2 linked regions of the Styela clava genome follow. The protein of the gene in region 1 binds, or shares a complex with, the protein of each later gene. Links are inferred from orthologs where the notes say so. Each region holds a gene or a part of one and is shown on either strand. Other genes may lie near its edges. The genes, in order: mediator of RNA polymerase II transcription subunit 24-like and mediator of RNA polymerase II transcription subunit 25-like.

Region 1 (16,898 bases):
TTCACTATATATAATATTTCGATTGGTATGTTAGTCTTTGATTTCGATAGAAGGCTTTAACGTTTATTTATTTTAAAATCTCTGTGGGTTCCGAGGGATTCGTTTTTTTGTGTGCGATTTTGTCTCTTGTGACAGATTGGATACCCATACTACTTAGTTCCGGCCTTCTTGGCAGTCCAAAATTTGAACATCGTGCTCTTGTTTGATTTCATATGGTATTGCTTAGGTGGGTATGTGTTTTCGGTAAGATATGTCGAGGAATCGAGAATCGGATTCGAAAATTTAGGAATCGGATAAGAATCCAATACTTTTAAGTACTCATACTTGGCATCCTTACTTACGGATAACAGACTTGGTCACTGGGCCGGAGGTTTAAAACTCAATATGGAACTATGAATGCAAAACGTAATTTGCTGTTCTCGGGCGCTCTACTAGGCAGAGACGCTAGAGTTTCACAACGATATAAATAATTCGGATGGGTGAGTTTGAGGTATATGTGACTCGTTTTGCACACTATATTCAGGTGCAAATACCACGCGGGGAGTTACGGTATTTATTTTAACCTACAGCCTTGGCCGTGATTTCAAATATCTATAGCGATAAAGCCCTTCCAAATTGTACTAAAACAATCCGACTCGAAATGCAGGCGTCATGTACCTCATGGCGGATCTCACTTCGTTACAGTGATTTCCCTACACCCCCTACAGAGGCTGAACACCCAGCCTGAAATTTCAAACACATTGTATTTGATTGTAAGTGTACCTAGAACCTGGCGCGTATATGGTCAGTCAAATACATAACACGTTTTTATGGGTTACAAATAGTTTTATCGGGAATAGCAAAATATTAACCACCGCTAAATTTGAGAACACCTCCCTAAACTAAAAAGTTGAAGAGCATACAGCTTCGTAGTTCTGAGACATTGGAAGTGAATTTATTCTATATGTTGCATTGCGTGTGTATGTTTGTATAGACCTTACTTGGCCAAATACATAATTTGATCAAACGTCCTTTGTACTGGCTGTTATAAAGTTGAATCAATTAGTAAAATATAATCAATTGCAAAATGACCCTGCCCCTAACCCTCTCGATTGGCATATCGACTTTTATACTTGCAGGCCGCGACGGTAAAATTTTTGATGCTCATTTTGAGAGAGTTTTCGTGAGTTTGTTGTCCGAATAACTAATATTCCCAACAATTTAGAGCTTGTAAGCGAGTACACTTCTTCAAAAACACAATTTAGCTTTAAAATATTACAGCTACTGTCGAGAAAAAGTACTGGCAGTTTATTGTATTCTATCCTAGCTTTTTCGTGACTGGTTTTGCTTACAGAAAAAAAACTGAAACACTTCCGAAGACAGTTGATGATATTATTTCAGAAAAAAAAGTCCAAAAAAAGGATTAGTGCATTTTTGTGATGCATACTCCTGGGCCAGATTGGCTTTGGTTTAAACTTTAAATTAATGGAAGAATACACGCTTTAACATCGAAAAATATAGCTCAGCACAATGTTAGGCTGAGTCAAAATATTTATCTGCCACTCTTCTCAACTTCGTTTATTAAAGAAACTCGTTGAATCTACCACGTGATCTATTGAAACGATATGAAGAAAATTAGCGTTGGATGCTCGTGCGGTCATTTGATCGATTGCGATCACCACAAAACGTCACCATTTCTGGCCTTCCCCCTTCAAAATGAAAGTGCAGTCAGTCGATTGGCGCTTCGTGCTAAGCGTTGGTAATACGCTCGCCACCGCACCTCTCACGAGTGTGCATCCCTATGATAATAATAATTATATGCGAGAGTGAGACTGGACTCCTCGCCGTTGCTGGATTGTTCACATAATCGCTGGTCGGTTACAGCTTGCTGCACAATTAAGTCCATGCATCTGAAACCAATAACTGGCAAACAAGAATATTGATCGGAGATCGAAGACTTATCGATCGAAACTGCGGTTTCGATTCATGAATCTATAGTGACACCGCGTGTCTCATCACTAATTAATTAATAACTCGCTAATTATACGACATAATTCATCCAAAATCAACAGGCTTCTGGTCCGAGATATGATAAATGCATATGCAAAATTTGGAGCAGATTCAACCACGACTTCGTGAGATATCGCGTGCATCTAACAGACAAATACCTATCAACATACTTGCCGATCTAGAGATCGATAAGTAACAATGCTAGATGCAAGATCCCGGACATGGACTGGTAAACGGATGGGAGGTCATGGTCCAACCGGCTTTCTCTCCCCGGGATAAATATGTAAAATCTATTCAAATTGGGATGACATGTCAAATATTTTAAACTGCGCTGAGATTTAGGGCTTGAAACCAGATATACTCTCGAAACACAAGCCATTTATATTCTTTGATATCATATATATTTTAAAGAGCATGTTCCAACATGATCGACTTATTCGGGAAGAACCATTTGACAAATTGCCTTTGCAGCCACTTTTCTGCTGAAAGTGTGGCCAAGGTCAGATACAGATAACACAAAATTAAAACTATCAAATTCTTTATCAAACTTGGAAATTTTGAAAGTGCCATCACTAGCCATAGCAGCCAGTTCTGTGACCATGGTTAATGGCATCAGCTGCAAAACAGCTTGAGAAACCAATTCGCCACACAGTGATGCCAGATATACGAAGTAAACTGCAAAGTCAATATGAGGACCGGGTTGTCGTTCAGCAAGCGACATATTCATAATATCTAATGCGTAACTAAGTGCTCTCAATACTGGTTCTCTTACATGAGAATGCTTAGACTGAGCTGTGGCAGAATTTTCGCGGCCAAGTATAGATGAAAACGCACTTGCTGCCAAATCATGCTCTGCAGTCGAACTGAAAAGTCTTCGCAACTTAGTGGGTCCGACTTCATCTTGGAAATGTACTTGATGAGAAGCCAATGACTCTTTTCCAGACATTAGAAGTTGATGCGATAGCTTTTCTTTTGCTGTTTTTTGTGAAAGGCAAGCTTTTTGTTGTAAAGATATATTATGAAGAACTATAGCAAGACAGCTAACAGCAAGCTGTGCTAAAACATTTCCTGCAGGAGCAGAGAGAATCATGTGATCAGCTTCATCAGTCAAATAGTGCGGAATTTCGTGTCTTAACAAGCAAATGACAAAACTCTCAACATCTAACAAAAATATTCCACCCACAACAGTAGCTGTTCGTTCAACAATATCTTTGCGAGTTTGTGACAACAACTGTGAAACAAGTTGATGGCAAAACCATTTGGCACCGGACCGCTTCAAAACAGCTTCAAGTCGACAGAGCATATTTCTTCCTATCCAGCCTGTCTCTCTGCACTCTGTTATTAAATCGGAAAGAACATCAGCTGGAAATTTCACAGGCTCGTTATCCTGTGCACCAGGTAGGTTTGAATTTGGCATCAACACTTCCAATATACCTTTAAACATGTTTGTACGTTTTGCTGCATGTATTTCTTGACCGGGTGGCGATATAAATCCATGCGTTGAAAGTTTTTCAACGACTTCTTTCAATTCCTTCCAGAATAGTTTTGGAACGGTTGAAGCATATTTGGCTACTTCAACAAGACAAGTCAGTCTGATAGACAATGATAATATATTACATATGACATCACAGGCACCCAACACATCTGCTTTGCTCACAACTTTGTACTGCCATGCCTTTACCAATTCGATGAATGCTCTTGGCAAATTGGTGCACATCTCATGCCATTTTTTTATACTGCACGATTGTTCTTGAGTTCGTTCCCTTTTGTTTTGTAACAATTCAAGATACATTTTAATACGAGAGTCATCAACATCAAGTTCGCTTTTACTATTTCTCAATATTTGACCTCTATCATCAGGCCAGTAAACAGATATCCAGTTGTATAGAAAGTATTTACTAGAATCCATGTCTGCCATAGATCCTAAAACAACGTTTTTTCCATACTGTTCAGCAATTTGGCAGACTAGAAAATGCGTAAAATCAAAAAGAAGACATCTCATTTGTGCACTTTTACCGCCTTCGGCAGTGCTGGATTTCACAACATCATTAAACAATATTAATTTTTTAGCAAACTTTTGTACATTGTGTGTGATTGAGCCACTTGCCAAGATAATATTAAAGTTACTTGACATTTGACTCAATGTAGCAAGCAAATTTTCTTGTTTAGAAATATAATCAGCAGAAGTGTCTATGACTGAAAGTAACTGACGGGCAGTTGCCTCGTATTTTATCAATTTGCTCGGTTCTACTGCGTGTGTTGGATGCTGTGATGAAACTTTGGCCATGCTGAGTCTTCGTGTTTTCAGCTCTGTTGCAGCATCTTCTTTTAATATGCCGAAAGATAGGCAACGATCAATGAGCCAACTTAGGCAATCACAATTTCCAGTAATTTGGTCTAACACATCTAGAAGACTGTCATATTGCAATAATTCTGAAAAAGCACTTGCCGTCGCATCTTCAAAATCTGTTTCTAAAGACAGCTTTTTAAAATCTGAACCATTTCCTGACACAATAGCAGATTTAAGTCTTTTAAGATGTTGGGGAAGTGAAAGAAAAAGTACAGATGACCATTTGTGTTTCCTATCTCCATCAATGCTGCCTAAGAATCCCATCATACAGGCTCGTATCAAGTCCAGACACAGTTCTGAAACATTGAGATCACAAAGTTGAGAGAGCAACAGCAATTGTTGAATTAAAGTATCAGGATCAGTCATTTTATTCCATTCACCTTCTAGGAGGATAAACATATTCACCAACATGCCATGATGAGATTCATTTCCTTGTATTTTTGGCAAACAGAATACTGCAGATGTTTTTGTATTACAGCGAGCAAGTTGAGATACACTATTACATGATACATTAACATCATTTTGCATGTTATGTCCAACAGCAGCATTTTTAATTACAGCGAGATCAGTTTCAATATGGCTCCAAACACTGCTCTCCTCAAATCTTGCAATAGTCAGAAGAGATGCAGTTCTCGGTAATGTAGTTAAGGAATGCAAAGTTGAGCAGTTTTTCTGAATTTGCAAATTCTCAGCTTCAACTCCAGAAGTTCCTGAACCCCTTTTTAAATATTGTTCAATATTTCTCAAAAGCCATTGCAAAATCACAAGCAAAGCTTTGCACAGGCCCATGCTGTCTTCTAGAATTTGTCCCTTGTTTAGTTTTTCTATATATTTCATGAGTATATTCAAAGTATAATCCATGCTAGCAGTGTTTTGAAGATCCTCATGTTTAGAAATGGCAGTCAATATAGCTGCATAAGACAAAGTCCCCGATTTGAGTCCGTAATTAAAATAACTAAGAAGAACTGTATTAGGTGTGCTTCCGATGAATGCTTGAGAGAAGAGAACATCAGCCATATGAAACATGTCAACAACATTCCCTGGCTGTAGTAATTTTCTCATTGTTGAAGTCCATTTCTGTTCACTCCATCTTTCTTTCCAAGCATTAAGAACTACATTTTTGAAAACGGTGTGAACTGACACCTGCATAATTTTTTGACCTGCAAACAAATCAAATAATTAAGTACATATGTATAAACTGAAGTCTTCTATTCTATTCGAGTTTTGTAAAACACTAACTTCTTTATCTCTTTTTTTTTTTTTTTTTAAAGGTCCACGTTGTGGATTCATAACAGTTTTGTAAAAATAAATAAATGATGAAAAAATAATAATCATAGAACATAGTTACATATAATAAACAAATATATTCGTAAACATCATCCAGTATTATCCAGCAATTCATATTATTCCATTGTTGATTCCAGATAAAGTTTCCCATGTTTATCAGTAAATATACATTAATTTATATGTTTTTAATTTATAGCAGAAAAATAAAAATTTATACAATTAGTCATAGAATCTTACAAATTATGTCTAGTTCTTTTATAAAACTAGGATTATGTCTAAGTTGTTCTATATTTCTCCTTGCTAAAAGGGATTTTCTAATTCTTGTTATGACACTATTTACACTTGGATTAACATTTTCAAAAATAACTGCATTACTTTCTAACCATATTTTATATCTTGCAGTACACAGAAGAAGTATGACTGCATTACGTTCAATTAATGATAAATGTGAAAAACACTGATTATTTAGTTCTAGTAAAATACATGTTTTATAAATATTTTTTAACTCGCAATTGTTTATTTTTAATACAACTGAAAAAACTTTTTTATCTCACTAGGCTATAATCCATCTTAATTAAAACCACTGGACGGTACGACCAACATTCATAACTCGTAATATTTTGTGATAATCCTCCAAAGTACAGATGGGAACAAAAATCCTGTGCACCATCATGCGGAATAATATTTTTGACATTTTTTCTAAAATTGGAATACACGACAAATGATTCAAATGTATGTAATTTTTAAACCAAGCCAATTGGTTCAATTTTTTGTTGGTGGCTGTAAAATATCTTTATAAGTTTCCATGTCAAATAATTAGTACCTCCGGCATTGGTCCAAGAAAATCTGTCCGAGCCAGTGAGCCAGTTTTTTTTTCTCTCGTTACGCATTTAAGTTGCACCAAATTTTTTTAAAAGGAAAAAGTACGAGAAAAACAAAAGTTCTAAACAAAACAAAATAGACACTTACTTTGAATAAAAACTACCACTCTGTAGCAAAAAACAGCAGGATAATTCATTGCTACTACAATCAAATTATTAATAGATTCCTAACCCACCTAAAAATATTCCTGTGGCCCATAAAGGAGGGGGAGGCCCAGTTGAAGCAGATCCGATAAATGGGCGTTCCGCGTTTCTATTATTTGATTGGCTGCGAAAAGCCAAACCTACGGACTGTCAACACAGCGGATTTCCTTGCGGATTGACCGAATCTGCATTTGAGTGTAGCAGTTCGCGGTGCAACACGTTTTGTTTAAACTGTACGGCATTCAGAATAGCGCAATGTTGTCTTCTGGAAGAAGGATAATATTTACCGGGTTAAAGCAACACAGGTGCGTAATTTTTAATATCAATACATATACTTTGAGGCTTCCAAAAATTTGCTATAAAGAGAGAAGTGTTCCAGTGCTTCACTCCTGCACTCAGAGCGGGTCTCGTGTAGTTTCGTACTCGTACCTAACGTACTTTTAGTAGGCGTAGCATAACAATTTTTTGACATGCCAATCCTGACCCTCACCTGACTACGCCATCCGAAAATTACATCACTACAACGTCACAATCACGTCATAGAGCTTGCCAAATACTCGTACGATCGCCCGAAATAGCATCGGTGCCGACGATAAAGAACTGACTAACGTCAGCGATCTCTCTCCTATCAGGATCGTTGCGACGAGAGAAATGGCTGTTCGATTTCGGGTTCTCGTCTGCGCGTCTTGGATGACAGTTCGCATAGTTTGAAGAGCTCTATTACGTCACTGTGACGTCGTAGTGACGTAATTTTTGGATGGTGTGGTCAGGTGGGGGTTACGATTAACACATGAGAAAATTGTTATGCTACGCCTACTAGAAGTACGTTAGGTACGAAACTACATGAGACCCTAACCTGACTACGCCATCCAAAAATTACGTCACTGCGACGTCAAAATCACATCATAGAGCTTGCCAAATACTCGTACGATTGCCCGAAATGGCATCGGCGCCGACGATAGAGAACTGACTAACGTTAGCAATGTCTCTCCTATCGGGATCGTTGCGACTAGAAAACGAGAGAAATTGCTGTTCGATTTCGGGTTCTTGTTTGCGTGTCTTGGATGATAGTTTGCATAGTTTGAAGGACTCTATTACGGTTGATAGTCAGATAGTTACGGTAGCCACTGATACCGTACTTCATACAGTTGCTAAACCTGAAGGACTGGCATTGTGTACTCAATTTATTACATTCTGGTAAAAGCTGTTAGGTATCGGCTTTTTTGGTACCTGTACTTACTGAATTAAGCTGTTGCATCAACTTTTCTATATACAGATATTCACCGAAAGATATAAAAAATGTTATCCCATGGTCTTTTTCATGCTATTTCCCACTGTTTGTGCTTTAGCAAGTTGGTCAATTTCTTTGTACGAGTTCCTAAATTTAAATTATGTGCAGATAGATTAGATATCTCTGTATCTGCAGATTTTTTGTTGTTACAGAACAATTCCTGAGTTCTCATAGCTGCTGGTCTTTCTCCCGGAATTTATAACCAAACATGTTTTACTGTTTATTTCCAATTGATACTGATATAATTGAGTGTATAGTTCAATCCTTAAATAATGTTTGTACAGTAGTAGGGCAATACTTGACATTTTACTTTTTAATACAGCAATGGTCAATACAAAATATTTGCTAAGCATTTTATTCAAAATCTTTTCCTTTTTGAAAGGTTACAAATAACTGCGAGAAGTCTATCAGTTCAGAATGAACCGATTTATGACTTTACTCCTGGATCAAAAGAAAGACAAGATGTTTTGGATGCTTTGAAATTAGTTGAATCTCGTGTTGAAGACATACCTATTGTTATTGGCGGTGAACATGTTAAAACAAACGACATTCATTATCAAGTCTCGGTAAGTTCGAATTGCACCAACTGTTAGGAATACACTTGCCATCGCACTTCCCGTTACTTTACATGAGTTGAATCCTGTAGGGGATGATTATATGTGAGAGGATTGCTAGACTCACCTCAAGGTGGTTCATGTTCCAACCATCCACTCGCTCAAGTTCATAATAATAGTTCATAAATATCTGGCTAACTAATTCCATACCCGATATAGACTGGTAACTGGATGAGAGGCTGTGGTATGCCTTATGATTAAGTCCGTGAAATCCTAACCTATCCTTCTGGTTTGCACTGTAAAGAAAGCAGGGAAAAGATAACGAAGATAAAATCTATTGTTATGTCTGATTTTCACTTTGATGGGATTATTCATTATAAACTGTGCACACTTTTGTTTAATTTTTTTTATTTATGTTCAGCGAATCAGCGTTAGGTTATGTAAATGTGTTGGATACTTTCAGAATACATTTGCTTTATTTTCATCGCTATTTCATATTTGACATAATTTTTTTAATATCTAGATATACCATTATACCATATTTTGTCTATGTTTTTCTACAGCCGTATAACCACAAGCAAAAGATAGCAAAGTTTTGTTATGCTTCTTCTGACCTCATAAACAAAGCTATTGAAAACTGTCTTTCTGTTCGGGCTGAATGGGAAAGAAAACCAGTTGAAGATAGGGTTCAAATATTTTTGAAAGCAGCAGATAAAATTGCTGGAGAAAAAAGAGCAGAAGTGTTGGCTACTACAATGGCGGGACAGGTAACATGATTTATATTCAACAGATTTTCATTAGTCATAGAATTTGATCTTTGTGAGCAGGGATGGCCAATTCGAATAAAGTATTCGAATGTATTCGAATATCTCGTCATTCGAATATCGGAATTCAAGTTCATAAGAATATCGGATATTTGTGTGACGTCACTCATTTTCGACGCCGTTTTCAAGATGTTTCCGTTGAATGAAAACATTCTCGATAGAAAACTTGCGCGTGATTGTTTTCATCACTCATCAGCGTAACGTGTTATTTAGGCCCGTAAACGCCTTTACGATTGTGTTATTTTCTCTGAAACGAAAATTTTCCACAAATTTGTTCCACGATAACGATAACATTTATTTTATTTTTGTATGCGCACGGAATTGTGAATCTGGTAAATACGTTCATCGGCGGCGAGTTTCTAAAGACAACGCAACTTTTTGATTGAAAAGCGGCAATTTAAAATACTGAAAATAAAACCGTGAACAACATAAGTTTTATTGAGGCCCGGGAAAATTTAAAAAACGCTTTTCTAGGCAGTGAAAATCGCAAAATTCGTGTGCCTCTGGCACACATTATGTTTGGTCGGCGTTTAGAAACATATCGTCACTAATTGAGGGCGGGATTTGCCTGATTATCCATTTAAATTGCCGTCGAATATTTTCGTGTTAACACGATACAAGGTTTGAATGAAACGCGACTTTTTCCCTGGTTGTGAGGATGTATATAATATAATTAATCTAAAGTATATTCAATCAATTTTATTGTGATGAAATAAATTTTACTCTGAGATATTTTACTCTGAGCATTTCGATCGAGCGGAGTCACTGTTAACAAGTACATCTGAATATTTGCCGAATTCGCAAAATACGGATAAAAACAATACTTAATCGGACAGTTTACCTCACGTTTTTATTTTTATGGCCGTGGTTTGCAACGGTATATAAGAGTGGTTAGGATTTTATTTTGTCGACGCAACCGCAGGATAAATTGAAGACAATTAAATTAATAAGAGCAAGACATTTTAAATATGCCCGTGTCGGTCACGAATTCATCACTTTGCACAACAGAAAAATATATATTCGTTGTTATATTATTTGTTGTAAAAGTCGACTCTTCTAACAGGTGGCATAATCGCGGCGATGAATATGTATTTCTAATTTACTGCTAAACTTTATATGTATATTCATTGTATGAAATGAATTATTCTCTACACTTAACATGAATTTATATAAATATTTGAGATTTTTCTAACGGCGATAACGAGTTGGCAAGATTGCAAAAATACATATTAAAATTAAATACATCAGGCAGTTTATCTCGTAATTTTCGGTCACAGATTGCCGTGGACCGAATAGTAATGTTTTTTTTTTTTGACGTAAGAAGAAGCAACCGCGAGTTATGTTGGACACATTAAATTAATATATAAAGATATTTTAGAATCTCGTAGTTGTCATGGATTGAATATTTTACCTAACAGAATGATCATTATACGCTGACAAGACGGCTCTTTTAACAAGTGCGGAATCGCGGTGGGTCTTACAGGCGGCAATGGGAATTTCCGATTTCGAAAATCCTGGCTGCGCGCTGGCAGTGGTGGTCATCTATTCTCTACTAATTTATTTCCAACTCCAAACACAACTATATGTTACACATAATAACAATATGGTTCACATAAATTTATATACAAATATACTGGTAGGTAGTAGAATACTCAAGGCTTAAATATTAGAATTTTTAAAGGCATGATGGATTTTCGATTGTTGTTGCCTGTATTGCCAATAAATTTAATTACTCTCAGAAAATATACACAATTATCTGAATGCAAGTAGTATTTTTGTCAATAGACTCGACTATTATCGTAATATCATGATACCAATGATAGAAAGCATCAGACAACTCCTTGGCTATCTTTTCATATGGTCATTTGTACAAAGTGAATAATTTTAATAAACTGACTGTGTCACAAGTTGCTATTATTTTTTATTAATAGCTATAAACTATCAATTACTTTGTGTACATATACTGTTGGTCTGTGGCTTCATTCTGATATTTCTATTGATGCTTATTTCCTGATTTAGTGGGTTTTAATAAACTAAAACAAAAATGTGTTATTTTCGATTTTAGAATGTATTCGGAATTCCAGATTCGAAAACATTATTTTAGAATGTATTCGGAATAGTTTAGTATTCGGAAATGGCCATCCCTGTTTGTGAGCGAAGTTATGGGGAGATACTGAAAGATATAAATAAATTGTAAAATCATAGATAAATACCAATTGACACGAGACTTAGTAAAGCAGTTCATGCCTATACAATCAGGGAACAGCTTTGAAGTAGTGAATCCCAGATAACTGAAGTTTTTGTCAAAAAACTTGGGTATAAAGGTTTTTTGGTCCGATAAGTACACTAACAATAAATGGGTGAGAGATCACAGCCAACAGAGGTTATCCCTTGGAAATGTATAAACGAAGACACAAATACCGACTAATGTCAATTAATTAATTAACATAACCCAAATTCACTTTTATATTTGATTATAGATTAGCTTACTTTTTATTTATGAATTCATTTTCCAGGGTAAAAGTATCATACAAGCAGAGATTGATGCCGGTCCGGAGTTGGTGGATTTCTTCAGATTTAATGCAAAATATGCCCTGGATATGGTTCAAGAACAACCTATTAGTCCAAGTCCAGATGTATATACGAATACCACAGAATACAGGGGCCTTGAAGTAAGTAAAGTTAACATTCTATCAAACAAGATATGCTAATTGAGAAAACTTAAAACTGTCAAAAATGTTTTATTCTATCGTAGAGAGACAGGAGACAACCAATACATTATTTGTTTGAACAGAAAGCTGCTATGTTTGTTTATACTTGAGTCTTGATCTATTTATGGTTCTTGAAAACTAATGTAAGGTTTCCAAATTCTTCTTTTATGGGTTATGTTTATTCGAAACGAGAAGATACTGCTTTTGAAGTGAACAGAATATATCTAGTTCGACATTGCATGAACGTTTCAAATTTTTGATGCTACTATAATAGTAAGGACCTATGTATCATGCTTGTTTTATCCTACAGGGATTTGTTGCTGCTATATCACCTTTCAACTTCACAGCAATTGGGGGAAACTTAGCTGGAAGTCCTGCAATGATGGTAAATATACTTTCACTGTTTTAATGCGAGCCAAGAGATAAGAAAAATTCATATCTTCTTTGTCATTTCTTTCTTGGACAATGATCTGATGCATCTGTAAACGTATCAAAAAGAGAAAGAGCTCATTTGGCGCGTAACTAAGTAAACAATGAGTAAAATAAAATCTATAAAAATAGAGCCTACTTGAAGAAGAGAAGTATCATAATTTTTCTGACTCTTTGGTGGTAATACGGAAAAATCCTCATTTAAAGTGAAGTCTGCTTATTAGCCGGAAAATAGGTCTTATTGCTATTGAATTTAAAATGTTCCCTTATTGTCCTAGAATATATTCTTACTTTCAATCTTCCTTTTAGGGAAATGTTGTACTGTGGAAACCAAGTGACACAGCTATGTTGTCAAACTGGACTGTTTACAAAATATTAGAAGAGTGTGGACTACCCCCTGGTGTTATACAGTTCTTGCCTGCTGATGGACCAACCTTTGGTGACACAATTACTGCTTCTGAGCATCTCGCTGGCATAAATTTTACAGGGAGTGTCCCGTGAGTTATACACTATTTTTGTAAACAAAATTATCATAATCGTAAAATGTCAAATATAGGCGAGAAGCGTTTACGAGGTGTGGCTTTTGCTACAATGAGTAATGTGTTTGTGTTAATATCTCGCTGGTATAAACTTTACAGGAAATGTCCAGTGAGTTACACACAATGTTCATAAACAGAATTATCGTGATCATCAAATGTAAAAATATAGGCGAGAAGCATTTATGACATATGTCCTGAATCAATTTTGGATTTTACACATTCAGAGTACTAAGCATTTTTCGTTGTTAAGATAGAACATAATGAATCTATGGTTATAATTTTTCATATGTCTTCAGAATTAATTTTGGTACCCATTTCTTCTGCTTTTGAGAAAGACGCCATTTTTATGTCCTTATATTCAAGCATTGTTCTATTTCTATAATGTTACTCGTTAAAGTATCGGATAGAGCAGGGGTGTCAAACTCGTGGGTTTTCGAGGGCCGCATTGCATTTTGGGAATTGTGCAAAGGACCGCAAATAGTTTTTGATATATTTTGATAATGTATACTTGAAGCCTATTTTTAAAAAGGTATAGTTTGTGACATATATTGTAATGCAAAATCTTCTCGAATTTAAATGCCATTTACATATTAATTTTTGCATTTCGATATTATTGCAATTTTCTGTATTTATTACAAAAAATCATAAATTTCTATGTACAACTATCCAAAACATTTTTGAACAAAGTTTTGATAAGAAAAGAATAATACATACACCAAAAAGTACCTAATCTAAATATATAAGCCTAAAATTTACAAAAATACTACAGAATAAACTGTTTTTTTTTTCGTTCGTTTGCAAACGTTTGGCAGCTCTTCTGTGCCACAGGCTTACTAATATCAGGCTGAAATGATTTTACAGTGCCAACTCTAATTAAAGAGGCCACATGATCATCGATTATTCTGGATCGTTGAGAATGTTTGATTCATTTCAGTAATACAAAAATATTACGTTTATCATTGCATGTATAGATCAGTAAACAAACAAATGACTGACTTTTCAGACTAGACATTTCCTACCATCACGTGGCATACGTGGACCGCTTGAGCTATGATTGATATATATTGATTTTCAGTAACTAGGTATCCTTATAATTATGATATATATGTAATATACAAACACATAAAAAAATTTGTTCAAAGTTGATCTTTAAAATTGTCATATTGACTGCTGAGCTTCTATACTTATGTCTATATTGTATTGTATTCTTTCACTGTAGGCCTACTGATGGAAATGTGACAAATCAAACAATGTGCTTTAGAATTTTGAGAAATGTAGAAATATTGCAACTCCCATTTTTTTCAAAAATGCCACCTTCTTCATGTACTTTGCATTTTATTTAATCCTTGAAGTGTTTTTTTAAGTTATCTTTTGCTAGCTTGAGGTGTATTCAATTGCAAACAAAAAAAATTTAATTTTCCAAAACTACTTTCACAAATTGTGGTTTTCTGTGTGAATAATCGATTTCACTTTATTAGAAGGTTTAAAAAATGTATTAAGTTTAGATAAAAAAAACTCACAAAATATTATAAATATTGTTAAGCGTTCGAGGGCCGCATTGGAAGTGCTTTGGGGTCGCACGAGGCCCGCGGGCCGCATGTTTGACACCCCTGGGATAGAGCACAAAAATGCCCTGAGAACGATTGAGCCTACTCATAGCTAGATACATGTATATTCGAGAATAATATTCAATGTTGAATGTTCTTTCAGGACATTCAGTCGTTTGTGGAAGCAAGTAGGAGAAAATCTTCACAAATACAGAACATTTCCAAGGCTGGGAGGTGAATGTGGAGGAAAAAATTTCCATTTTATAAAATCTGGAGATATCGAAAAGTGAGCTTTTTTTCTATCCTGGTCGCTATGTTAATAAGTATATTAGCTATTCTAAAAGTGAGTTATGTCAATTATTTGGATATGTATGTAGACTTACTCTAAATTTCATTTCAGCATTGTCAATGGAACTATCCGTTCAGCTTTTGAATACAGTGGTCAAAAATGTTCTGCATGTTCTCGGGCCTATATTGCTGAATCTATGTGGCCAAAAGTAAAAGAAGCTCTTGTTGAGGCGCAGAAGAAATTAAAAATAGGGAATGTAAGTTGTTCTGAATATGTTAGATCAGGAGTTCTCAAACTTTTTAAGCCGCACCCTATTTCTAGAATTTGTCAAGTCCCACCTTAAAAATAACTAGCTGACAAGTGACAATAAACTACAAATAGCGGATAGTAAGGCGAAAGTATGTTTTATTCAAAAATCATGTTGAAAATACGTGGATGGAATGTAAATATCCAAAATAAAGAAATGTGAAGATCCAAAACAAGGCGGGACAGATCAAATCTAAGTAATATGCTTATTTTTAATTGACTTCATGCTTTCTTTGTGGGACACACTCCACCGTTTGAAAACTACTGTGTTAGATAAAACATGTTTCTGGAGGTAAAATAGCATTTCATCTCTCAAGTTGCAGTTTGGCAGTAAATTGTGCCTTTACTGTGTCTTCATGAATTTTATATTCTTTTGTTATGGGTATCGGCAAATCCAATTATTAGATCGTCTATTTTTAAACAATCAGAAGGGCTAGACCAGGGGTTCTCAACCTTTTTTCTGTCAGGTACCCCCCGAGCCACGAAACAATCAACGTGAACCCCCGGTAATCAGACACCGGACAAAGTTTTGATATATTGATTAACAATTTGTTGCAACAGCAATTTATTGACCAGATGTAACTAAATTAAATCTTCGTGTTGAAATTATTGCCCTTGTCCTCCACCTAACTACCGTAATGTATTTTTAAAATCTCTCCCAAGTTTCAATAAGCATAATCACTTTCTCCGATGCTCGCAGCACATTGTCTTTGGAAATTTCACAGTTTGCCTGCAAAGCCGTGAATTTCACATTGTTGCGACACAATCACAACAACGCAAGATCAGGGAAAATATACGTTCCAATTGGCATCTAGTTTCAATGGGCACCCGGCACCCATTTTCCTTTTGTAGTAATGTAGGATATTGAAAAACAGCAACACGAAAAAACTCGACTGCCATCCAAGTACCCCTGGAAATCTTCTCGGGAACCCCTGGGCTAGACCCAGGAATTAAAATAGAGTTATCATGAAATCTTGACCTGTTTATATGTTTGCTAAAATAACATCCTTTATGCATGGAAAATTCTTTGTTTTTACTTATCGATCTTGATCGGTAAGTATGTTGATAGGTATTTGTCTGTCTGTATGTCTGTGTGTTAGATGCACGCGATATCTCACGAAAGCGAGGTTCAATCTGCACCACATTGGGCATGTGCATTCATCTTAGCTCGGATCAGAAGCCTATTGATTTTGGATGGATTATGTCGTATAATTAGCGAGTTATTAATTAATTTGTGATGGGACACACGGTGTCACTATGGAGTAAGACCACTGTTTTGGGGGATCCCCTAACCTTCGATCGATAAGTCATCGATTTCCAACCGAATTCTAGTTTTGTTTTTCTGTTCTTACAGCCATCAGATCTCAGTGTTTTCAGCTCAGCCGTGATCGATGGAAACTCGTTTGAGAGAATTCGTTCTTATCTTGAACACGCTCATCAATCACCTGATATTGAAGTATTAGCAGGCGGAACTTGTGACGATTCAAAAGGTTATTTTGTGCAACCTACGATTCTTCTGTCTAAAAATCCAGATGAAAAACTCATGAAAGAGGTTCGTTTTCAATAATACTTAGAAATTTCATTCATATTCAATGGCCGTGTTCAAGATTTTAGTAACATTTTCTCCTCTGTATAAAACTCTCTAACAACAGATCAAGAGTTTCTTATTTAAATCAAGACCTTTTGTACCTTATGCAGTGGTGTGCAACCGCCATACCGTGGCCAGTTTGCGACCGGGCTATAATTGGCACGGTGGT
Region 2 (16,883 bases), on another chromosome or scaffold:
GTTAATATTGCAGCACAGTTGGATGAAGGACGCGCGGTTTCTATTCGTCGGCACAACCAAAACGTCGAGAAAAACCGCCATGTTCTCGGTTGATTGATAGATGTTTTGAAGTTAATTGGTTGTCACGAGCTGTCCCTCCGTGGGCACAATGAAGGGGCTGGCTCTTCTAATAGAGGGGTATTTTTGGATATGGTGGAATACACCGCATCCCTAGATACAGTATTGAGAGATCATCTTGATGCCGCAACTGTTTCGAAAGGGACATCTAAGGATATCCAAAATGATTTGCTCGACTCAATGTATAAAATTTATTTACAACATTTGGCTCTGGAAATTGAGAATTGCCAGTTCCTTTCGATTCAGTCTGACGAGACAACTGACATCACGTGCGTTTGCGAAATGTTTCGGGGTTTTCTTAATTTCGCCACTGGTAAAAAAAAACTATCTATTAAAACAGCGTTTCCCAAACATTTTTGGCCACGGAACACTTACGCTTTTTATCTCGCCTCGTCGAACACCAAAAATGAAAGGGTAAAATTGATAAAGAAAAATGATGTTATGCAGCGGTCCCAAAAGGTGCGCTACTACCGTATTAGTGCGCCGCGGCGAGTTGCCAAATGCGCCGCGAAAACTAACAAAATTGGGGTCTCATGTAGTTTCATACCTAACATACTTCTAGTGGGCGTAACATGACAATTTTTCACATATCAATCCTAACCCCCACCTGACTACACCATCAAAAAATTACGCCATTACGACGTCACAGTGACGTAATAGAGCCCTTCAAACTATACGAACTGCCATCCAAGACGCGCAAACGAGCACCCTTAATCGAACAGTTAGTTTTCTCGTCGCAACGATTCCAATAGGAGAGAGACCGATAACGTCAGTCAGTTCTTTATCGTCGGCGCCAGATTCAGATTCAGATAATTTATTGATAAAGCGCCAATGCCATTTCGGTCGATTGTGCGTATATTTGGCAAGCTCATGACGTGATTGTGATGTCGTAGTGATTTAATTTTTGGATGGCGTAATCAGATGGGGGTTAGGATTGACATATCAAAAAACTGTTATGCTACGTCGACTAAAAGTACGTTAGGTACGAAACTACACGAGACCCCAAAATTGTATTCAACATACCTAAAATATGATGATAAAAGAAGTCTGACCTTGGTCAGACGAAACGTTACAGAAACATAATTGTATTAGTGTGCAGCAAGACTCTTGAATCATTTAGGATTGTTATCTCTACTCTTGCTACAGCATCCTTGCAATATATGCTTACGGATCCATCGGCACAAAAGCATAGAAGAAGGATAAGTAGTTAGTCTCGCAGAAACCAAATAATCAGCGAATATTTTGCTGTGTATCCGAATCAATAAATTCATTTTACCTTTCTTTGTCGTTTCTTTCTTTACATTCTATTACGTAGTGTTTGCCTCTAATGTTACCTAACAATGGAGTTAGAAGTACTTGGTGCAATTTTGCGAGCTGGAGTTTGTTTATCTGCTGAATCGAGTTTAGCGAACATGAGTGATTTTTTCAACATTTCCAAGTAAAACCAGGCAGAGCTTGAGAAAGAAGAGAACTGACCCTTTGCCTTTGTCCGATTTAGGCCGACCGTGACGCGATATCGAACGGGCCAGTTGTGCGATAACTTCACAATCCCGAGATAGCTATGGCGACCAATTTAGTCGTAATTTTGGTCTCTTTCCCACGGAACACTTGGAAGATGCTCGCGGAACACAGTTTGGGAAACGCTGTATTAAAACATGCGGAGGTATCGTCGTAAAATGGCCTATTTTTCCCGCAAAGTTGCTGGTTTGAATGTAGGAATCCCAATGAATTTTTCTGTAAAAGCATGTTTGGTAGTAGCCTGCCACAAGGAAAATAAGTAAAAACAGACTGTACTACATTATAGGAAGATTGTGACAAAAAGAAAGAACGACACAGTCAAGTCTGTCAATGTATCGCCCGTAAAAATTGAAGACGAATGAGTATGTATCCGGCGATACCATGAATATGCCATCAATCAATAAACATGTGCCTAAACAAGGCTTCAGTGCGAATATCTATGTTCTGATACTCGGCTATTATTCATTCTGCTCCGTAATACAATACCCGTAAATTATGCTTAGAAGCTGTACAACCCCTTACTTCAACACTGCCAGATTCCTGCCGCCAGTTTACCATCTCGAGTGATAAGTTCTCGATCAACCGGGCTTGTTATGAATTAGTTGGCTGGTCAGCAAAGGCGTGCTTGGCGTTGAGCGCTTATCTCAGTCCACAGGGATGGTTTCAAATCGATTTGACCGATTTTATCAAATTGGGCCCCGCAACTTAAAGGGACCCCGCGCTAGTGGGGGTCTTTTTCTGTGTTATGAGGTACAAAATACTACTGAAAATGCAAAATAAAAAGTGCAATAATATTTCTCATAATATTAATTTGTTATTCATGGGAAATTCAGTAAATCATCGTTATGTCACCATTAGCAATTAAATTCTTCTGTTCTGCTTTATTCAAGAAATTCAGATTAATAATTTTGTACTGTTTTCTAAAAAAGATAAATATAATATAAAAAGGGCGCAAGTGTTTAGGTGCTAACCAGATAAGATCATTGGCGAAGGCAAAGAAAGCTAAAAATGAAAAGCAAAGAGGTTCTATCAATAAATTCCTTGTAACCCCATCTTTAAAGCGCTCAAGGATTGAAAATGAAAAAAATAACAATTCAGAAAATAATATAACCATGGATCCAAAAACAGTTGATCAATACAATTAGGACAAGAATAACAAATTGGAAAAGAATGACACAACTTTGAAAAAAAATGAAGACGATCTCAATTCATCACATCACGACATTCCCAAGACAGAAAGCATAATCATAACCGGATAAAGCCCAGACATCATACAATACAAACCTTAAATTTGTTTTATAGCAAGTATTAAATGACCATTTTTATTTGGTTTGTATGTATTTTTTTTATGAAATATAAACACCCATGAATTTTACTATTAAGATGATTGTATCGACACATAATTTTATTCTAGGATATAATTTACATATTCCTGCCTCCCGTCCGATCACCAGACCGCGTAGGGCATGGGATTAGTTAGCCAGATATCTGTTTCAGTTGCGTGGACTTGATGGTGGAGGAAGCCATAACCGACCAGCAGTCACGTGAACCACCCTATCAGTTCAATGTGAGCTATTTTCTTCCTAATACGAAAAGAAACAACAAAAAGTTTTACTGTTAAAAATGTTTGTCCAAATTATTACCTTTTCCCGCGAGTTTTTCTGAAAGCAATTGTACTCAAAATCCCTCCAACTTCAAGACAAATCGCTAGCAGCTATGTGACATTTATGGAGAAGCAACTGTTTCCCGTTTAATTAAAAATAACTAATTAAAATTAAACTGTGAAATCAACTCGATGAACAACGGAACACCATGGATTTAATGAAAATGCATAAGATTGATGATGCTGTTGTTAATGTATATATATACTTATTGGACACGTAGTGGACATAACGATCGTTTCAATATTATGTTGTTGTTGTTCTTGTTTTTGTTGTCCTTGTTGTTGTTCTTTGACACGTTTTTAAAAAGTCGCTTTTCTCTTCGAATACTGGACCAATTGCTTTGAAATTTTCAGTGGTTGAAGATAAAATTTTTCTCCAGAAGGCTATTACTTTTTTTTTCGCTATGACGTCATCAAAATTATTGCCATTGGGTGGCGCTACGTGTCCATATATTTGAGCATAGCTCTCTTGTTACTTATCTATTTTAATCGTTAAGTATGTTGATAGGTATTTGTCTGTCTGTCTGGCTGTTAGATGCACGCGATATCTCACGAAGACGTGGTTGAATCTGCTCCAAATTTTGCATGTGCATTCATCATATCTCGGACCAGAAGCTTATTAATTTTGGATTAATTATTCGTATAATTAGCAAGTTATTAATTAATTAGTGATGGGATACGCGGTGTCACTATAGAGTCATGAATTGAAACCGCAGTTTCGATCGATAAGTCTTCGGTCTCCGACCGATATTCTCGTCTTATTAAATATTTAATTATTGAAAATTCCACTTTGTTGGAACCATAAAAAAAAAACATACTCCAACGAAATATTGAAACCATACGAAATTGTTTGCAATCGTAGCCAATATTAAGTTCTGCGAGATTGTCAAATAAGAATTTCAGTTGAAGAGATTTTAGCATTCGAACGGTTAGGTATTAACCACGTTATAATGCTAACTATGTCGAAAAGCGCTCAAAAGTAACAGAAGTCCGGAGACAGGGAAGAAACATACATCCAAGGCGACGAAAACAAGAAGTATCGAATCGCACTTTCCAAAAAAGGAGTTCAACAGATACATACGGTGCTGTTTAGCAAGAAAAGTAAAATATGAATTACGTTGATGAGCGCACGATATTGCAACACAGCCAAAATGTTTTTTTTTCACATAACTTGCGAAGTCCCTCTAGCTAGTCTAGTAACCAAAAATGGTGTCATCATGAAACGTCAAGTGTTCTGAAAACCAATTATATTCATTTCGATTTCCTTATAATACTCGCTCAGGATTCATACCTGAAATGGTGATAGCACCTTGGCACCTACGTACATTTGCATCCGTTAACTGCACCCAGGACACTTGCACCTGAATACTTTTGTAGCCTACTCACCGACATTTGCACCCTTAAATTTCCACCTATTAGTTTTAGCACTTGCATATAGATTGCGCCCGTGGACATTTGCACTCACGAACATTTGCATTCATGGACGTATGCACGTACGGACATTTGTTCCCAGGTAGGCCTAAATTTTCATGAAAGGACATTTTTACCTAGGTACATTTGTACCCACGCTCATTTGTATCATGTACATTTACATACACATTTGCATCCATGGACGTTTGCACGTACGGACATTTGCTCCCAGGTAGGCCTACATTTCCATGAAAGGACATTTTTACCTACGTACATTTGTACCCAAGCTCATTTGTATCATGTACATCTTTACTCGCGAATATTTGCACCTGCAGTCATGTTAGCTCGCGAATAACCATGTTAGACAAACATCAATTACGAACTATAAATATATATTCGAAATGAAGACGGATTACAAATTTTGAGCATCCTGTATTCTCGGTGAGGGTCGTTACTCGCTACGTTTTAACAGTTATTGCGAGTTATAATCCTATCACACCCTTGTCGAATTTACCGGGCCAATGAAAACTGGTCGTAGTCTCGTCAGTGGTAAACCAATTGTAAAAGACAAGAGAAACGTGCTTCGAAAAAGAACAATAAATAAGAGAAAAACAGAGAGGGAGAAAATGACCTCGAGTTTATTTATATAGATTTATACAGAACAAGTTGTTTACCTCACTTTCCAACTCTTTGTGTTGTTGCCTCATAATGGTGTCTATTACCGATGCGAGTTGTTTTCCTCCAGTTTCAAGGGTTTGCTCGTTCTGAGTTAATGTATGGAAATCCAAACAATCATATTCGAGTTCTCTTTTTCTTTCAGCTCAAAGACACATGGAATTTAAACGAACTATAAAAACATATCAGTATTTTGACTCCATACCTATTCAGCAATCAGCATAACCATTGACATGTTTCATGTCATTGGCATAAGAGACGATAAAACTTTTGATAAAAGCAAAGAAATAAAAACTGATAACCAGCTCATTTAATTTTTTTTTTAAACATATTAAGGAGAACTCTGCGGCAGCCGGTACTGTTTGGTATATGTCACACACAACGTTTGTCTGAAGTTCCATTTTTGCTAGAAACACAACCTTGGCAGTTGGAACCACCATCAAATTTAAATCGGATCGTTTTATTGACTCCTACGTAACTAACATAGTAAGCCAAGTTAAATTTCACCATTCCGTTGTTTCATTGCGACGTCGTTTCCAGTACCCTGTAGGGGATTTCCTAGGTACGGTAGATGACGTTTTGAGGCAGTGTGGCTTAATTCTGGTATGTTGTTTCCGAACTGATGTGTTCCGCAATAATCGTCAAACCGCAGAGAGTATTAGAATCGTAGTCAGGGCTACATAGAGGATACTATTTGATAAATAATATTGATAATGTAGACTACTGTTGGTGATTCTTTTTGATATTATTTTATTCCCCTAATCTAATTATACTATACTTAAACTGTTGCCAGTATGCAGTAGTATTTAATACCGGTAATTGATGTAATCTGGATTACAATTTGATAATATTTTGGCATGTCTTTGATGAATGAAAAGGTTTAGCCCACCTCTTCATGCACACAACTTTGGTTGGGCAATTTGGTATTTGACTCCAATTATAATAATCTTGGCGAAATCTTTTTTTTTGTCCTTTATTATAATAGTCTAAATACTGTTCATTCTCGTTTGAGAATTTTCATAAAATTATTAAATGGCGTGGCAAACAATTTTTATTATTTTTGGTTGCCATACAAATTTATCTGAAGCTTCTCTTTTTTACGAATTTTATTAATGCCCCATGGTTGTGTGTATGTGTGTGCGAGTGTGAATGATTTGATTCAATAGTTTTAGGTGAGTGAACAAGTACCACTTCTTTTTGGCAATACCTTCCATCCTATATTCTGTACGTTTTAAACCTTGTGCAAGGTTTTGTTTACTCTCCTGATTCAGTGATTTCATAATCAGATTTTAATAGTTTGTTTTTATCAATCATTTTATCGCCTTTCTGCTGTTTATGGAGTTGAAATAAACTTATCTAATCTTGTATTTTTCATTAAAAAAAAGAAAAATAATATGATATGTAAGCTACTTCAATTTGACTAAACAAAGGTACCGGTACAGTACAGACAGACGATACGGTAACACTAACTACCTAACGAATAGACGACTACAATAATCTGACAACAGAATCTTACAGATACATTTTAATAATTGATACACTTCAGTTGTTAGGGTACGATACGTAAATTCAGGTCTGGGAGAGCTGTTTTTATAAAATGAAAACGTGTTATTGATAAGTAACTTAAATGTTCATTGGTTCCATATTTCTGTATTTTGTATAGGCCTATCTGTATATTCGAAAACTAGTGATTTTGTACCTAGTAAAACATCCCCCAAATATAAGCCCTAAGTTGGTGGTATTTTTCTAAAGAAAATTGAAATAGGACCCTGTTATATTCGGGGAAACAAGTTACGGTATAATAATTTTAAATTCTGAAATGAAAAGTTAGATGCGACAAATTTAATGTGAAATTTATATTTGAAATTGAATGTTAAGAAAAAGTATTATCTAAAATGGTAGAATATATGGATTGACGGATTATAAAATACAAACACACAAATGTAAAAACTAATTTGATGGTTAGGACCTAGAGCTGATAAAATTTCTGGTATTTCCATTTATTACAGTATTATGGTACTGGTATGCTTGGCTCCAATTACAGCTCCTGTTCTTCAGCCCCAGCGGAAATACAAACAAATGGCCAGATGCTAACAAAGAATAGCCCTGGCATTATAGGTCATACAAGTTCCTCAACACCAAACTAAAATTGATCCAGTATCAATTGTAATTCTGAGAGAGCCCCTTTCTAAATCACACGATTTAATTCTATTAATTTATACTGATCGTACTTTATAGAAATTTTTTTTCTATCCATTTTGAATTGATTTTACACAATTTTGTATTGCGAAAGGTGCCGTATTAGTATACATGTCCACTGAGCAGAACATCGGGCACTTGTATGTTTTCCAGGCACTTTGTGGACTATTTTTAATTCTGAATATAGAAAAAGTAGAATACTTTAAAGTAGGGCTGTCCAAAATCGAATAATTTTTCGATTTGAATCGAATATTTTTGCCTAATGGAACCGAATAATCGAATATCATTGCGCAATCCTAAATCCGTCTCTAACATACAATAAACGCCTGCCCTTCGATGTTGTGGAAACGTATGTGCAGTTACATCTTACTTACAGCTGGTATTTTGTAATACAATGTTTTCAGATTTATGAAAGGAGATCACACGCTTGTATGAACTGATCAAAAAAATTGGAGGACTCCAAAATTTGGGTCTCGAAAATTGTTGAGTGTTAAGAGTAATAATTGCACTATTCAAAAATTGCAATCTCAATTCTAATGGATTCAGTTGTAATAGGACATGTAAGGCCTGTAGATGCTATTTTAATCCTATTCACTAGTCTTATGTTTTTTTTGTGTAATTTTCAGCAAAATAATAACAAACATTAATATAGATAAAACTGTTGCTCAAATTCAAAATTGCATTTACCAAATTCAAAGCTAGTTTGATGACAATATTATTCTGTTATTTGATGACTATAATATTGTTAGTGTACAACAGCCATCGAAATTCAAGAGCGCAATTATTTGTCTTGGTATATAGATGGATAATACAGTATTGCCATCATAAGAAATTACAAATTCCATTGAAAGAAGTTCTTGCCATCATAAGGATCCCAAAACACCTGTTTCAGCTTTGAGTTACCTGTACTGTACCATGTTCCTATGATAACTAACTCCACAGCTTCAAATCGATTCTATTTATGGAACTATCGTTTTCTAAATTGTATTTCACTTACAAACTGAGAGAGGTGCTAATTTATTAGACTTTCAATCTATTTGTTATAACATTATGCAATACTTACCTCAATTTCACAGCTTGATTATAATTGAATTATATTCTGAATATTTCTCGATTGCTTGAAACATCACATCCTTTAAACATGGTTGCATCGAAAGATCCAACAGTTGTTGATTTTATTGTTGTGGTTGAGGCAACAGCCAATATGCTATCACATTGGGAAAAGATAAAGAAGTCTTATATAGGGCCAGCAATTGAATATTTTAACGGAAGACAGCCATCCCCATTAGATTATGTTGGTAACCACGGCAACAGTCAGTTCGGCTATGTTCTCTTCAGTTCTGCAGACTGTGCCCCTGATTTAGTAACAAGATGCTCAAATGTCACCCAAAGCCCTTGGGAGTTTTCCCACAGTTTGAACTCCATTTCATTTTCTGGTGGAGGATGTGAACGATCTAGCCTTGTGTCTGAAGGTCTTGGGAGGACCCTACAGCTGTTTGATGAACTTGCCCAAAGGCGTCACCATGAACGTTCCATGCAAGTATGTTTTTTGGTTTGCAATTCTCCACCTTATGATATTCCATGCAGTGAAGCTTATATGTACAATGGTCACACTGCTGGCAAGCTAGCAGAAATAATGGGTACTAAAGGTATTCATCTCTCAGTGATATCTCCGCAACAAATTAGGTCTCTCAAGGACTTATTCATTTCTGCTAATCGAAATGAACTTCCATCTATGAATTATGCTCAAGATCCAAGACATCTTGTTCTTATCAGCGGATTTCAACTTCCTACAGAGCGTGATCCTGTGAAACTCAATATCAAAGATGAGCAAAATCATTCAAAAAATGCATCGAAAAATAACACATTGAATTCAATTTCTGCCACAAGTTCTTCCTCTATTCCAAGTCCATCTCAACATCAAACTGCATCATCTACCACAGTTACTCACAACACACAACTAACTTCTATTGCATCATCTCCCGGTTCACTTTTCTCTACTTCAGTACCACAATCTCAGCCTGGACAGCTAATCAATACAGGTGCAGCATCCACAAATACAAATCAGAACTCATTACCTTCAGGGCAGTCTGTAATGAGAACACAGATAGCACAGGATTTAAATTCAACTTCTCTTGGAAAGCTGCAAACAAGTTTGCCAAGCTTCTCTGTAAGCCAAAATCTTCAACCTCAACCGCAGCAGTCTAACATGAGTATGAATTTTACCAATTCCAAGAACTCAAATATATTACAGTCTGGCAATGACTCTCCTTATTCCAGATCATCTCTTGGTCAGGCATCTAACAACAGCGTCATGTCTCATGGATCTGGCAATGTGGGAACCACAAATCTTAAGGACATGCTGCAACCAAATGCACATTCGTCACATACGCAGATACCTATTTCCAATGTTACTTCGTTCCCACAACCCTCAGATAGTAGTGTCAACATGGTTACAAACAGCATGGGAGGAATAACGGCCACTATTCCTGAAAATTCTGATGGAATGTACAACCAACAAACTCAACAGCAGAATGTATCCATGCAAGACCAGCAACAACAGCAACGATTAGGAAATCAACAAATAACTCAACGCATAGGTGATACATTCTCTTCTGTACCTTCAAACATGCAGCAGGCGCAGCCGTACAGTACTCCTAATGCATTAAATTCCGGAATGCAAAGTAATCAACAAATTTTGTCAAACAATATTAATACATTTACTTCATCATCAAATTCTTTCCCACCAAACCGTGGCATTCGACAGAGTTTCAATTCATCTATGCCCTCTCAGCAATCAGGATCGATTCAAGGAAATGTCACTACTATGCATCAGATGAATAATCCAATTCAACAACAAGCTGGAAACATGGGCATTGGTGGTTCAGCACAACAACCAACCCACCTTTTAAATCATGGGCAAGAGCTACCATCAACATATCTTAACACTGGGAATGTTCCAAAACCTGCTACAAGACAGCCAACAGACAACATGAGGATAACATGGGATGGCATTTTAGAATGGACCGAAAAAAGAAAAATAGCACAAGGAATTCAAGGAACTGCAAGAACTAACCACACTCTCCAATGCAAGGTATTGTTGCGCTCAACTCAATCAGATGAATCATTGAATGCAAACCTGTGGCCAACCAAACTGAACATGCAACTTATTCCTCAAATTGTATTCACTTCAATGAAAAATCAAATGAAGAATAATATTTCTGTCAGTTTGCGAATGTCCCCACTTGACCAAATGCAACAACTGGCAAATATTATGAAAAATAAGTGGATGGGATTAATCCAGATACCTTCTCCGAGTCAAAATTCTGCAGAAAATAAAGTTATGCTAGTAATATATTCACAAAAAACTTCTCAATTTTTCGGGGTTCTTCCACTTGATCCCCATAATTTTATACAAACAATCAGATCTGTAATAGCTCGACATAATCCTAGCCAACCAACGCAGTCTCGGCCAAACAATCCTGGTGCACAACAGTTACTTCAAGGCAATGTGGATCAGGGTGGAGGAATGTCAGGCTTGAGCTCATTTCAACCGCAGGGCAATACTCATTCAATGGCACCAAACCAGTTCAATGTGCCTAATTCAAATCCCAACATGAGACCGACTATGAATACTATGCAACAGCAGTCTATGACAAGAAGCGTAATGAATACTGGCATGTCTCAAGTGAGAGGAGGTATGCAAATGCAATCTTCTCAGCCCCAGAGAACAATGAATTTTGGACCTGGTCAGAGGATGCAAAACACGGGTCAGATATCCAATCAGCAAGCGATGATGATAAATCAACAGCAAACACAACAACAACAACAACAGATTACACAGAACAGCATAAATCAGCCACATATGCAACAATCTGCAAATCAGCAGTTTATGTACCAGAATAATATTAATCCACAAAGAAATTTAGTTCAGAAGCAAATAGACCAAAATAATGACCCTATGAGGCAGCAAATAAGAATGAGATTTCAACAGCAGCAGAATCAAGTACGCCAGGTGGGTCAAATGTCAGGTCCTGGATCTCATGAACAATTGAGGACGCTTCTTCAAAGCGGTAACAACATGGGGCAGAATATTCAGCGTCCAAGAATGCAAAACATGAATACAGGAATGCGTCAGACACCACAAAACATGGCTTCTGGATTTGTTCAGAATCAGCAAGTGCGGCATCCTGGCATGCAGGGGGCACGTATGATGACAATGCAACAGCAACAGCAGAGGTTTAATATGCAGTAACATTGCGAAAATGGCTGACTGTAGAGATTTGTTGCGAAAAATAAATTTACCATCTGGACAAACTATTATACACTCAACCAAACTGTGAATTATTCATTTGCTTGACTCAAATGACTTTATGTAAATATTGATTCAAAAATGATCCCCTTTATTCATATATTTAGGGGATTTCTTTTTTTGTTACAATATGTCGCGCAATTTGATTCAGTAAGTCTCAATGATAATAGTTCCTCTTTTATTTGATTTTTAAGCAGGTAGTGTGTTCCAATATAGGTACTCCTGTAGTATGTGTACCAGGTTAGGCCTTAATTTCATGCTGATTTTTTCTTATCTTAGTTCTATTAAGAGTTCGGGGACTGTCTGTGTTAGCCAAGTGCCTATTCCCCTCTACACAACTTGATATAAATAGGCAAACAAAATTTAGTCATCTCCATATTGGTACACATACTTCTAGAGCTTTTTATTTACGCTTAGGTTACTCCTTCGATTACCCCAATGAGATCAGCTCAATATGTTAATGAGATACTGCCAAAAAGAGTTACTGCTCTGTTTTTGTATTTTTTCCTTGAAATTGTTTTGTGAATCATGTTCTTTTCTTAGAAAAACTCAATTGATTTACTTCTCCATCTTACTATTCTTATTTATAAAATCCATCGGTAGCAACCACAGCCAATTTGAATCATTCCCATATTTTGAACAATATTGGTCAAATTAGGGCCTACAACTTCGCTCTGTTAAATGCCATTTAAAAGCTGGGTTGGTGTTTTTTTGCTAATATATTAATATTAATCTGTCCATGTTCCGCTATTTGAGATTTTAAATTTATGTCGGAATCTAGTTAAAAAAAAAATACGGTCAACATGAAGTTTTTAAGGCGTTACTAGTTTGAAATGGAGATATTGAGTTCAATCAAATGATATCGCCTTTCCCAAAAAAATATTTTGAGTGTGAACAGTTTTTGTTTTAACATGTCACACTCAGTTTGATGATGGGGGACACTGGCCTGATCACTTGTTTTCAACTGCTGTTTTGTTGTATATACTAATCTTATTTCTATTTACGTTTTTATTCTTTTATGATATTTAATTAGGGTATATTTTATGACCCAGTTTCAACCTTTCCTTCAAACAAGCTTTTCAGCAATCAGCCACCGTCACATAGAGCCGCTACTACGCTTTTCGGGACAGTAGAATTTTTAGTTGCGAACTACCTGTTCAGTGAGTTATTAAATTGTGTAATTTTTCAAGCATTTTTCTTGAAACATAATTTTGCAGTAGACTGCTAAACTCGTGTAGATTCATGTGTGAATATACATATAATATATAATTCTCTTGAAAGCAGTAATTTATTTATAACAGCAAGTTTGTCCGTTTCATCACGGTTGAGCAGCTCTCAGAATCATTGAGTAAAATTTCTGCTTTATGTCTGGTTCTCATTATGCGCAGCGTAATCAACGGTATCATCATATACCCAGAAGTCGACTAATCAGATTGGCAAGAGAAATGATTTTTTTTTAACAGCACAAGGAGTTATTTAATTACCGTAGTTACTTTGGTAATCTTTTTCCAGTAAATGTAAACTAGACCGCCAAAATTATCTCTATCGCTTGCAGATTGATTTAAGGTGATTGAGAAAATTTAAATGATATCCATGGATTAACAGTAAATTTGTTCGCAGGGATATAAACGATATTTCGTTAGCACGCATTTTCCCCTCTTTGCAATCACATACTATTGGCAGATAAAATAGGAGTTACGATATTACAGATTCATAAAAATTTACTACATTTTGTATGCAAGATTCAACAAGTTGCAATGTGATTTTAAAAATCATTACAACACATTCATAGGTTTGCTGCACTTCTGCAAAATGAGTATTTCAAAAACATGATAAAGAAATTATTCAATTATGGTTGATTATTGAATGTCGTGACAAAAACCGCTGGTCTTGAAAATGTGATCTTTCGAACATTAAAATTCATAATTCAGATGCAATTGAAGTATTATTAATCAAAATAGATCGCGGTTTGCGTTGTTTTGTCCTTATTTATGTTGCATAAAGCCTGAATTGCAATACGTTTGACCATCTCTGGTTTCGTGTTTGTATCGACATACATCCAACTATATCTACATCACGTATGTTTATACGGTTCGATATTTATATAATGTGTTTACTAACTCTTTAAATATCCGTGGCACACAAAACATGAAAATTTTTTACTCATAAAGAGTGCGATAGTCGAACGAGAACAAATGGTTGATAGTTACCGATATTACAACTGTTTTCTTACATTAATGTAAACGAGAGCGTCTTCGGAGCACCTCACATTATTGTAAAAGTTGCCCGGCCGCACGGGTAATACGTGGTCTTCAGACGCACCGCTGATCACGCACTTCGGTTTTGCTCGCCCTTCCACGTTACGCCCTTATTGCTTGTCACATGTATTCTCACTTATTTACAACCTAATTCATTTTTGTTACAATTCAATATGTTTCTCCCATTGCCAAAATCATTCAATAGTGTTATTGCCGATACTGGCGAGAGAAATGGAAGTGACAAACAAACTGTATTTCATTACAACGATATTTGTCATAATTTGATGACAAAGATCATAGATCATTTACCATGTCGAAACGCTTATTCGACTTCTCAGGCCGCAGAAACTATCTGAAAAGATAATTTCTGACGCCGGAATGCGGATATTTGTTAAAACGATGGTTGCCATTCTTGATTTCACTTTTCTAATGTGGCTGTTTTATTTTCGTATTAAATAGTGATTGATTGATTGAATAAAAACGCACAAAGTCATTGCGTAAATCCTGAATGCTATTTTAAGTTCAAATTATGATTAAATGAGTCGTCAATAATGAAAATTCTACTAGTCGAATAATATTTCCTTAGTACAATTGAGAAAAATTTCGCACAATAATTCTGCTTAGTCTGACCAGAGACAATGCATAACAATATAAAATCTACGGTCTGACCAACGACTAATATACCTGGTATTACTCAAACTGTAAGCGTGGACAGTTGTTACTCAAACTGTAAGCGTGGACGGTAAATTGATATAACCGTAAATATATACTACTACGGTATAACCTATCATTTGTGAGAATATCCATATTTGAATAACAAAATCTTATAATCTCGGGATTTTTAGGAAATAATTGCGGGATCGGGGTTGAAAAAAAACAGTCCAAATCCCGGGATTTCGGGATCGGGATTTCCCGGGGTCCCAATCATACTGGTAACCGGACAAGAGGCGGTGGTTCGCCACGTTATTAAGCCGTTTTATCGGCTTTCCTTTTCACGGGATAAACGGGTAAATCCTATTAATCACTCATGCATGTAGCTGAGTTTCTTATAGCGATTTCGTATCATAGCAACAACATTGAAGCTAAATTTTCCATGGAGTCAGCTACTGGTTATTACATCGTTTTTTCGTTGGTAGCTGTATTGGAAAAGTACTTGACACGATTTACTCGACATTGGGTTAGTACTACTAGGCCTATAGCTAGTACTAGTACTACTACTATTCGCACTATTCGCACACTATTATACTTTTCTGGTCACTGGGTTAGAGAATCATGTGAACTGCATTGCAAAATTGTACTGCATTATTTAAATGTGTATTTTTCTAGAACTTTGCAAAGATGGCGAACTGTGCTAAGCGTTAGGAATACATTTGCCACCGAACCTCTGTTCGTCATATGATTAGGCAATCGTATAGACTTTCCTCTCCCCTTCCTTCTTCAACATTAAAAACGTCCTACCATATAATATTGCAGACATTGCTAGCCAAATAAAGTGTATAATATGGTTGCACTTTGGTAGCGGTATAATAAGGCCTTAGAGCAGTGGTCCCCAAACTTTTTGTTTGTGTGGCGCAAAAATTATCAGGGAAAAAACTCATAGCACACTCACACAGAAAAAGAATTGCTGCCTTTAAATAAAACTCAATTTTGTGGGCGTTAATGTGTACTTTATGCGTTTTAATGTTTGAAAACATTAAGGCCTGAAGAATAAAGGCAACTTTTAACTCTTCTACTTCATTTCTGCCTGATTTTCCTTTGAAATACCAAAAAATTACTCATGTTTGCTAAACTCGGTTCAACAGATAAATAAACTGCAGCTCGCGAAATTGCAGCGCAAGGTAACAATAGAGGCAACTGTGTAACAGAGAGTAGACAACATAGAAAAGTCATGAATTTATTGATTCATATGCACAGCAATGAAAAAAACAATGAAAATTTATAATACATACAATATACAAAATATTCAATTATATATTAGTTATGTTTAACACAATTTTGTAAACCGCTGCCTTGGAGCACCGAGTTTGATGAAAATAATAACAGACAAGTGGGATGGAGCTGGTCACCTAGGTGGAATATAAAAGTATTCTTTTCATTTTCAACTAAAACAAAACAGCAAAATTTGGGGTAGAATATTGGGTTCTACTGTACTGAGGAAATTTTAGAAATGAATTAATAGCCTCCTAGCGGTTTTTTCCATCCCTAAGTACGGAAATTCAAAATCGAATAGTATAATTTCAGAGAAAAATAATTTTTCCCAACAATCATCAACAATCATCCTCAAGACAGTACCAAGAATTCAGAAAAATAATCCTCATGTACAATTCATATCCAAAAACTGGTCTATGAAAGACCTTATTCAAAGGAATAAATGAGGTTTTGATCACTTTTCAGAATTTCATGAATTCTGTGTTATGGATCATTTTCACTTTATAAGACAATTTATTTTGCTGTCATTTTATTGAATATTATGTTGTTTTTCTTACATATAGATCTGATATATATTTTATTTTGTACCTTGGCTGTTAAAAAGCAAGATGGGTCGCGAATTAAACATGGATACCCAACGTCAAAACTTCTGGAAAGAAGCTATCAAAAAAGAAGCCTATGTCAGATTGGCTTGGCATGAAAAATATAGTGCAGAATTTGGTAGAGATAGCACAGAGGAAAAGAAACTCCACAGGACAAAGAAACTCACAGAAATGGTACCAAAACCACCCACAAGAAGTCT

The links.
Region 2: mediator of RNA polymerase II transcription subunit 24-like (region 1) and mediator of RNA polymerase II transcription subunit 25-like share a complex: the UniProt entries of both Homo sapiens proteins name them as parts of the mediator complex. The link is inferred for Styela clava from reciprocal best matches to the Homo sapiens genes MED24 and MED25.

The regions. Positions count from the first base shown.
Region 1 is NC_135252.1:17,327,913-17,344,810, reverse strand, and holds mediator of RNA polymerase II transcription subunit 24-like, read right to left. Parts: upstream 6,784-16,898; 5' UTR 6,684-6,783; intron 5,500-6,683; 5' UTR 5,489-5,499; coding exon 2,423-5,488; 3' UTR 2,368-2,422; downstream 1-2,367. Other genes in the region: delta-1-pyrroline-5-carboxylate dehydrogenase, mitochondrial-like, read left to right, coding at 6,907-6,956, 8,325-8,508, 9,060-9,263, 11,837-11,992, 12,342-12,416, 12,770-12,957, 14,710-14,832, 14,947-15,091 and 1 more. UniProt on the Homo sapiens protein: Component of the Mediator complex, a coactivator involved in the regulated transcription of nearly all RNA polymerase II-dependent genes.
Region 2 is NC_135258.1:20,072,419-20,089,301, reverse strand, and holds mediator of RNA polymerase II transcription subunit 25-like, read left to right. Parts: upstream 1-8,621; 5' UTR 8,622-8,723; coding exon 8,724-11,837; 3' UTR 11,838-13,177; downstream 13,178-16,883. Other genes in the region: protein SPMIP1-like, read left to right, coding at 16,690-16,883. UniProt on the Homo sapiens protein: Component of the Mediator complex, a coactivator involved in the regulated transcription of nearly all RNA polymerase II-dependent genes.